Oryzias latipes: one gene and its partner. The protein of the gene in region 1 interacts with the protein of each later gene in a pairwise test. Links are inferred from orthologs where the notes say so. Each region holds a gene or a part of one and is shown in the gene's direction. Other genes may lie near its edges. The genes, in order: tpm3 and hsf2.

Region 1 (4,582 bases):
ATATGTAATCTGTCATGAGAAAAATGCCACAAGAACGTGATTTGTATTGGAAGGGGGTCTTAAAATCTTTTTAATCAATTTGACTTCACCACCACAGTCATTTTACAGGCCACCATCCATATACTGTTACACAAATTTCCACTATGGGCGTCATTGTGCTGGAATTATGACATTCCATGCCCTAACCAGAAGAAAGTTGTGATGAGGTCCAGCAGGTCAGGACCAGAAGAGTATATTAAAGTGGAAACTAGAAAAAAACGGCTGTAATCCACTCCATTTATGCTCACTGTTGTCTTAATTCTAATCCAACAATGTCCCCATCTATTAAAAAAACTTTTCTTTAATTACAGAAAACAAAATATAGCATATTCCTATGTTTTGCATAATTTCATCAACTATCGTCAAACTAACAGAACCATTAAACACTTCTCTCTGTAGAGTCGTCTCCACCAGCATGGCCAAGCTGCAGACATTCTTTTGTTCTGATCCGTAGGACAATGTCAGCCAAAACATGTTTATTAATAACCCAGCAGGGCTTAGACAGGAATAAGCGACACATTCACGGTTGTGTATTCCCTGGAGAGATCCCGTTATAGTTATCCCAGGGCATTTGGCACTCAAGCACACAGTTAATGTTTCTCTTGGCATTGTTTGCAGCTCCTTCTTCTTTCATCCTATAAGACGCTGTCACATTTTCAAATAGAGTTAAAGGGATCATAAAAAAGAAAGAAACCCTTCAGGTTCAGTTTCAGTTGAATTGACACACACCAGTAAAGGCTGCGGTCTTGCATTTGAAGTTATTGTTGCTTCATGGAAGACATTTCAAACACCACAATTAGGTTTTTGCTGTGGTGGGGGCATAGACTATTGGAGCCCCTCTAAAAACAAGAGTGGTTTTTCTCCTTAACAATATTTGCATAAACTGTACGGTTATAATAAAGCTTTCAGTTATTAATCAGTGCATAAATGAGGGAAGGAGTTTAAAGCAATAACAATTCTAATATTGACACCCGATGAAAAGGCAACACAGAATGTCAGGGACAGAATATTATGAGGAAATCTCAACTGAACTGCCTCAATATTTTTGTCAGAAAATGAAAGGGAAAAATGATTTTGACTAAAATGAGGTTTTGAACTTTTCAGGTTTTATCTGGTTCCTTTTTGTCTGGGAGGGGGGAAAGGGGTGTTACAAGGTAGGTAATAAAAACATTTTTGCCAAAAAAGTTTGATTTCTCAACTCACTTTAACAGATGTTTACTACAGAAGACCGGAATAGCCATGTCAATTTTTTTCTCTTTTCTCGAGATAATAACCTAAAGACTCATTATCATGAGAAGAAAACACCAGTTTTCTAAGGATAACAGAATAAAACTAAAACTTATCTTGAAATCTCGAGAAGACAGAAAAAAAATTATTTTAATTGGAGATTGCTGAATGTTGTGTGTGATTCTCCACAACCCTGTAAGATTACTCATATTCTAGATGGAATAAATACAACACAAAACAGGAATAACAAATGTTTGAACCTTGATTTATGATGGAAAATGGCAAAACACACGTGCTCTTTTAATAAATGTTGGACAGAGTTCTGGGACAAATGGGTGTAACGTTACCCACTTTGTCACAAAGGGTGGGATTAAAGAAGGAGGAGCTAGGTGTCTGCTATATAAAAATATCTTGAGTGAGTTTGGTTCTTCCACCAGCTTAGACAAGCTCTAGAACCTGTTTTAGACAAAATCCTCTGTTTGTTTTCCCTGTCAGCTTCAGGAACCCAACAGCCAAAATGGAAGCCATCAAGAAGAAAATGCTCATGCTGAAGTTGGACAAGGAGAACGCACTGGACCAGGCAGAACAAGCTGAGGCTGACAGGAAAGCAGCTGAGGACAGAAGTAAACAGGTGGGTCATGGCAATCTATAATGTAAATACATTTAAAAGACCTACAATTATCTAAAAAGCACAACATTTTTTTTGGAAAAAGCCATAAAAACCAACAATCACTGTTAACATTTTAACTCCCAGCTCAACAAAAAAGTTAAGCACATAGAAAAAAAAAATTGTATTTTAAAAATTGTTCTGATCACCGACCCCAGACAATGATTACTAAAGATTTACATTTTTTTTACTGATGGGGTTGTTGGAAGGTTAAAAAAAAGCTCCAGAATTTAAGCCTCCTCTACTTTGAGGGTAAATAACAAAAATTGTTTTCAGTCACTGTTGTCAATAAAGATAAAGTTAAAAAATATGTACTACAACTTCTTAATTTGGGGAATAATAAAGTGTCTTTGAATAAAACCAGAGGTCTTAAACTGAAAACAAAATAAAAAAATTCTTAGAGGGTAAGAAGAATTGTTTAAACATAATATACAAGGGAGTGTAATAACATAGGGCAATTTCATATGCATTAAGTGCAGCTCAGTATATCAAAATAGGACTTTCTTCAGGTTACCTGCTGTGTAGATGATTTATTTTCCTTGTCGGTTTGTCTTCAGCATGAAGATGAACTCCTGCAAATGCAGAAGAAGCTGAAGTCGACGGAGGATGAGCTGGATAAATACTCTGAGGCCCTGAAGGACGCTCAGGAGAAGCTGGAAGTTGCTGACAAAAAAGCAGCTGATGTGAGTAATCATGCAACACTAAGCTCAGCTGCTGCACATAGGATCGTTAAACTGAGAAAGAACCGTAAAATACCTGAATGTTGTTTTTTTCCAATTAAATAAACCCACTTTATATTATCTCTGCATCTTTGGTCAAAAATGATCAGTTTTATATCATTTTATAACATAATAAACAGGAGGTATACCATTGGAAAAAACCTATCCTCTGGGTTTGGGATGAGCCATGTGTGAGGATGACATGAAAAGAGGTTTTGCATTGTTGTGCGGTGAGAGCCCGGGGCACAGACTCAGACAGAGGCAGTTGATGTGGTTCGTCCCAGCCAGGCCTGTCCTCCTGTGCTGCATTCCCAGCATGCCTTGCCTGCCTCTCACAGCTGTTGGTGGGATTTAAATCCTGATTTCCACTATGATGTCACCATCATAACCTTGAGTGTAAGCCTCACAATAGTTCCAGTCTTTTTTTGGTCCTTCAGCCATTCCTGTCAGGTCACTTAACAGTTGTTTTAAGTCTTCAGTCTTGACACTCTGTATAAACCTGACGGAAGTGTTTTGTTGGCTTTTTACAAACAATATTTTATAATTTCTTTGTTAAAATCTTCCAAATTTTAAGAACAAACTACCTTTTGCAATATTATTTGTAAATTCTAAAAATCACAATAAATACAAACATCTGTTTAGGCTGTGCTCCACTTGTCCCGAGTTGGGATATGCTGCCATTATCAAAGGATAGATGAACATTTCTGATTTAAGAGCAGGAGTAAGCTTGCAAACCTTGTAAAGCCTTTTTTGTGAGGAACAGGGAGCGGGTAGTGTTTCACTGGTTCTCTAAGCAAATACAAATCAGGCAGCTCTGAAGGCTCACCAATTTCCATGTTTAGATGATGCTTAGTTTAAGTACCTCCTTGATGTTGTCGCATCTCTTGCCTGTGTCTCCACCCTCGAAGGGGCTGCTTTGGTTTTGACTTGTCGGCCACCTCCTCTGCCATGCCTCAGTCTGCAGAGGACCTTTGCATTCCTGCTGGCTGCAACCTCCCCGCTTCATCCTCTGTTTTCCCTGACTTCCCCAGTTTCATGCTCCATCTGCGTTTTATCTTAGGCGTACACTTTAAGAAGATCTGGAAGCCATTTTGGCATCTTTAGAAATGCTTTGAGAAATCTATGATTCAAGGTTGATACTCAGCGACAGCTGTGTGTTATTCCTCTGTATAAATCTTACACTGGCAGCTGTAATTGGAAAATAAACACCTTAATAAAGGTGACAAAGTCAATAAGTATTCATCAGCCTCTAATTCTATCCATTGTCCCACTTACTAAGATAAAAGAGGTCAGTAATGTTAATCATACATTCAATGAGAGAAAGAATGAAACAAAAAATATTCCAAGAAATCAAGTAGTATGATTTTTAATGAGTTATTTGTATGATGGTGCTGAAAATAAGTATTTAGCTCCAACAAACAGGCTAGAATTCTGTCCCACAGAGACCTGTGGCTCTTCTTTCCTGTATTAATGTCACCTGTTTGAACTTATTATCTGAATAAAATACACCTATTTATTCCCCTAAACATTCAGACTCCAACCTCTCCACCATGACCAAGACCAAAGAGCTCTAAAAGAGACAGCCCTTTAAATATAAATCCATTTGTCACCTATTACATAAGAATACTAAAGCTATAGAAAAAGTCCAGTTCAGATCCAAAAGTCTTTAAATAATTCTTGCATCTTTACTCCTGGAGGGAGGTGGCAACTGTGCTCCAGCAACAAAGAAGCAAACCCCACCGGGTTCATCGGGCTGGGAGCTCCTGCTGGATCCATGTTTGGCAAAGTATTCTGTCACAAGAATGGGCAGACGGCTGGATCCAAATGCAGCATGTTTATTAGCTCAGCTAAAAGTCCACAAAGCTAAATCAGGGTCAGGCAGGCAGGAGTCAATAAAGAGCATGGCAGCATCAGAGAAGAAACAGAAATA
Region 2 (3,592 bases), on another chromosome or scaffold:
GCCACTGGGATTATGTCAATTGTGTAAAAAGTTCAACCGTGACGGTAGTCGACATGAGCTGTTATAGTCTTGAGGAACCTGAACTGCTCATGTGTTAGCAGAGCAAATCTGTCCTAAATTGAGATCAGTTTGAGGTGAACAGCTCTGTCCCTGTCAATGCTCTCCTCAGTGAGGTGGAGATTGTGGAGGTGGACCTGGACAGCTGTGGGGTTATTCCAGCTGAGGCTGAAGTGAGCACCGCCAGCACAGAGGAGCTCCGACAGACGGAGGTGGAAGAGGTCCCCGACATCACCGCAGTGACGGACACCATCCAGCGGAGCAGCTCTATGGACAGCAACGCCCTGCTGCTCAACAAACCCTCCGGTTTGAGTCTGGAGGATCCCGTAAAGATGATGGACTCCATCATGAACGAGAACGGAGCAATCTCCCAGAACATCAATCTGCTGGGAAAGTGAGTCCTATGACCCAGAACAGACCACTTCCTGTTTACAGCTCTAGTATATAACTTTCCGTTTACAGGTATGGTAGGCCACTTCCCCAACCACAGCTGAGGAAGATCCTTTTCTTTTTACACTGGGTGGGGATCAGTTTTTGTGTACATTTGGAGCAGCTCTCTTCTTGTAAACAGTTTGTATTGGTTTGTAATTGGGGTGCAGCATTTTTCAGGCTCTGTTGTTTTTCTCTCAAAGAGCTGGTCACTTTTTATTTCTCCTTCAGCATTTGAAAAGGTCACTTCTTGTTTACAGCTGGGTCACGTTGCTTTGTTTTGACCGTTGTGGAAGATCTCTTAAGTCACGAGCAGTTGAACATGAACAGGCTCCGCTGTGCCAGCAGAGGGTGCTGTTTTTCGGCCCACTGACTGTTGGTCTGTGTGTTTCAGGCTGGAGCTCATGGACTATCTGGACAGCATTGACTGCAGTCTGGAGGACTTTCAGGCCATGATCTATGAGAAACAGTGCAGTTTTGATTTTGAGGCCCTTGAGGTAATGCCCCTTCATCCTCTTCCTCAAACATCTTTAGACTGATCTTTCTTAGTGCAGGATTTCTAACATTGTGTGGTAGATATCCAGGAAAGGTTTTGTGGGTGTTTTTCAAGTATTTAATGTAGTTTAGACATAAATTATTCTCTAGTCTTTTAATTTTAATCTTGTTGTAAAAAATCCTTGTTTTCAGGAGAGCGTTTCAGTTAAGGACAGCAACACAGAGCCAGTCAGAAGCAAGACAGAGAAGGACAACACCGGTAAGACAGAATGCCTGAGTTTTGGTTTAAACCGCTAAAATCCTAACCTGTCTATATTTTTATATCAAAATGTCCACTTACACGTGTATAAGTGAGCTCTTAATGATCGGTAGGCTCTGTGATGCTACACACTCACACCGGGCACAGGATACACATTCAAGAACACAGTGAATGTGGGTTTTTGAACGTGCTTTTAACATTTGGTGTTCACACTGGTCTGTTGCTACTCGGTACACTAGCGCTACTTTTTCTGTCACAGCTCTATTCCAGTATCTGAAAGACTGGGTGTCGTGTGATTCCAGCCGGGCTTGCATGAACGTGAGATTTCTGAGCGTGGAAGCAGGAAATGCGCGTTTACGTTTCATTTCATTGCAAGCTGTGGTTGGATTGAAGGCTAATGTGAATGTAGCATAACACAGAGATGTGTGTCGTCAGCATAAATGGAAGCTGATGTTGGTCCATGTGTGTAGACTCTAATGGAGATGATTAGCTTGATGGCTGGCTTTGATCATTTATCTGTAACTCTTGTTTCCTTTCCTCAGATAAGCAGCTGATCCAGTACACCTGCTGCCCCCTGCTGGCTTTCCTAGATGGCTGTGCCCCTCCCCCAGATCTGGATTTGAACTCCAACACTCCAGTGGGGTCAGACTCGTGCTTGCAGGCCCCCTCCAGCCCTGGCAGCGTTGTAGAGCTGCCCTCAGAGCTCCTGGACCCTGACGAGGAGCCGAAGCAGCCGAGCCGCAGCTCCCTGATCCGCTTGGAGCCGCTGACCGAGGCGGAGGCCAGCGAGGAGACGCTCTTCTACCTGTGCGAGCTGAGTCCTGCCGCACCTGAGACTGACTCCGCCCAACTGAGCCAAGTATGAGCAGATCTGTTGGACGTCCTCCTGCTGGGATCAGATCCTGCTTGGACTCTGTGCCCCCCCCCCCCCCCCCCCCCCTCCTTCAGCACTTATCATCAGCTCAAATGAGGGGGGAGCACCTCACCACAAAGTTTCTTTCTTATTATTCCGACTGCTGCCTGTGTTCTCGTGGAATTTCTGTGAGACGTAGAGATGAGGAGCAGACCTCTGTGTTCAGCACCAGAGGAGGAAGATGAGGCCCATTTCTTCCTTCTCTCCGCCCATATTTGGTCCAAAAGTGCAGTCTCCTCCTTGTACATACATTTATTTATTTCCAGTTGTTTTTTGTTTGTTTGTTTTTGCTACATTTCCTTCCAAAGCTAACATTTCATAAAGCAGCATTCCTTCAGAAGAGAGGAGTTTGCTTTGAACTGCTGCGCGGCAGCTTAGCTCAGGTTCTGCAGCGGCCCATCCATGCACAAACACTGCAGAGCTGCAGCGGGAGGGAAGGGAAATTCTCCTGCAGAGATGCGGCTGAGGAGCGTCGTGACAGCAGCTGAGGTTTCTACACGGCTGGAACCTCTTTGACATGACATGATGGGTAGAACTGCTGATTTCTGTAAACAATGAACCGGAACACAGCTTTTTTCATGCTGCCTCCGCTGAGTCAGGCTGACGTTGTGAGGTACGGTGGTTTCTGTGTCGACCGATGAAACCATGCAGCTGAAATAAAGTTAATGTCTAGTGATTCTCTTCTGGTGTCTCCCTTTCCCTCTCCATTACTGAGAGTTCTCTGTTTACATGCTAGCTTACACCCCCAGCCTAAAATTACCAGTGCAACAAAAATGATGAGCAGTATTGGAGCTATGCAGCCGAACAGTTTTGATCCAGATTCCAGCTCAGACGGAGAAACCAAAGATGTACATGGATCCATTTTTCTGCAAGCGGAAGCTTCAGAATGGAGCAGATCAGGGAGTTTGTGACCCGCCCAACTTATTTTCTACGTCACAAATTAATAAGCTCATTTTTTAACTCCATTTTAACGTCTGTTCCTGATTCACAATTTGAAGGGGAAAAAAAACCTCAAATGCAAGTTTTGGCTTAATTTTCTTTGTGTACGTCTATGACAAAATGCTACAAGAACATGGAAAAAAAAAACACTAAATGATTTTAATCTGAGTGGACCTTTAAAGCATTCTTTATGTGACAGCTCCAAAGCATTCACATTATTAAGGTTCTCTATTTCCCACACATTTTCAAGCAGGTGAACTCCTTTATACTTAAAGTTATTACAGGAATTTTGGTATCAAAATGTTCCGTTTGTTCAGGAGAATTTTGTGTGTACTGTTTTTAGATGATGTGCTTTGTAGCTGTAAAATATTTAAGCAAAAATGTTAGACCCCCACGGGAATGAATAAGAAGGCGTTCAATTCCCTCAAAAACGTTTTGCCTTTTGAACGCTTTAACCTTCTGCATAGTGAAACCTTTCAACCTTTAAATATTCAGCAAAG

The links.
Region 2: the proteins of tpm3 (region 1) and hsf2 interact in binary tests that used the Homo sapiens proteins (3 or more experiments, as listed by UniProt). The two-hybrid records come from large-scale screens. The link is inferred for Oryzias latipes from reciprocal best matches to the Homo sapiens genes TPM3 and HSF2.

What each region holds. Positions count from the first base shown.
Region 1 is NC_019869.2:21,739,144-21,743,725, forward strand, and holds the start of tpm3 (tropomyosin alpha-3 chain), read left to right. Parts: upstream 1-1,672; 5' UTR 1,673-1,783; coding exon 1,784-1,897; intron 1,898-2,490; coding exon 2,491-2,616; intron 2,617-4,582. UniProt on the Homo sapiens protein: Binds to actin filaments in muscle and non-muscle cells. Plays a central role, in association with the troponin complex, in the calcium dependent regulation of vertebrate striated muscle contraction.
Region 2 is NC_019882.2:10,661,435-10,665,026, forward strand, and holds the end of hsf2 (heat shock factor protein 2), read left to right. Parts: intron 1-169; coding exon 170-451; intron 452-880; coding exon 881-983; intron 984-1,173; coding exon 1,174-1,240; intron 1,241-1,782; coding exon 1,783-2,105; 3' UTR 2,106-2,830; downstream 2,831-3,592. UniProt on the Homo sapiens protein: DNA-binding protein that specifically binds heat shock promoter elements (HSE) and activates transcription. In higher eukaryotes, HSF is unable to bind to the HSE unless the cells are heat shocked.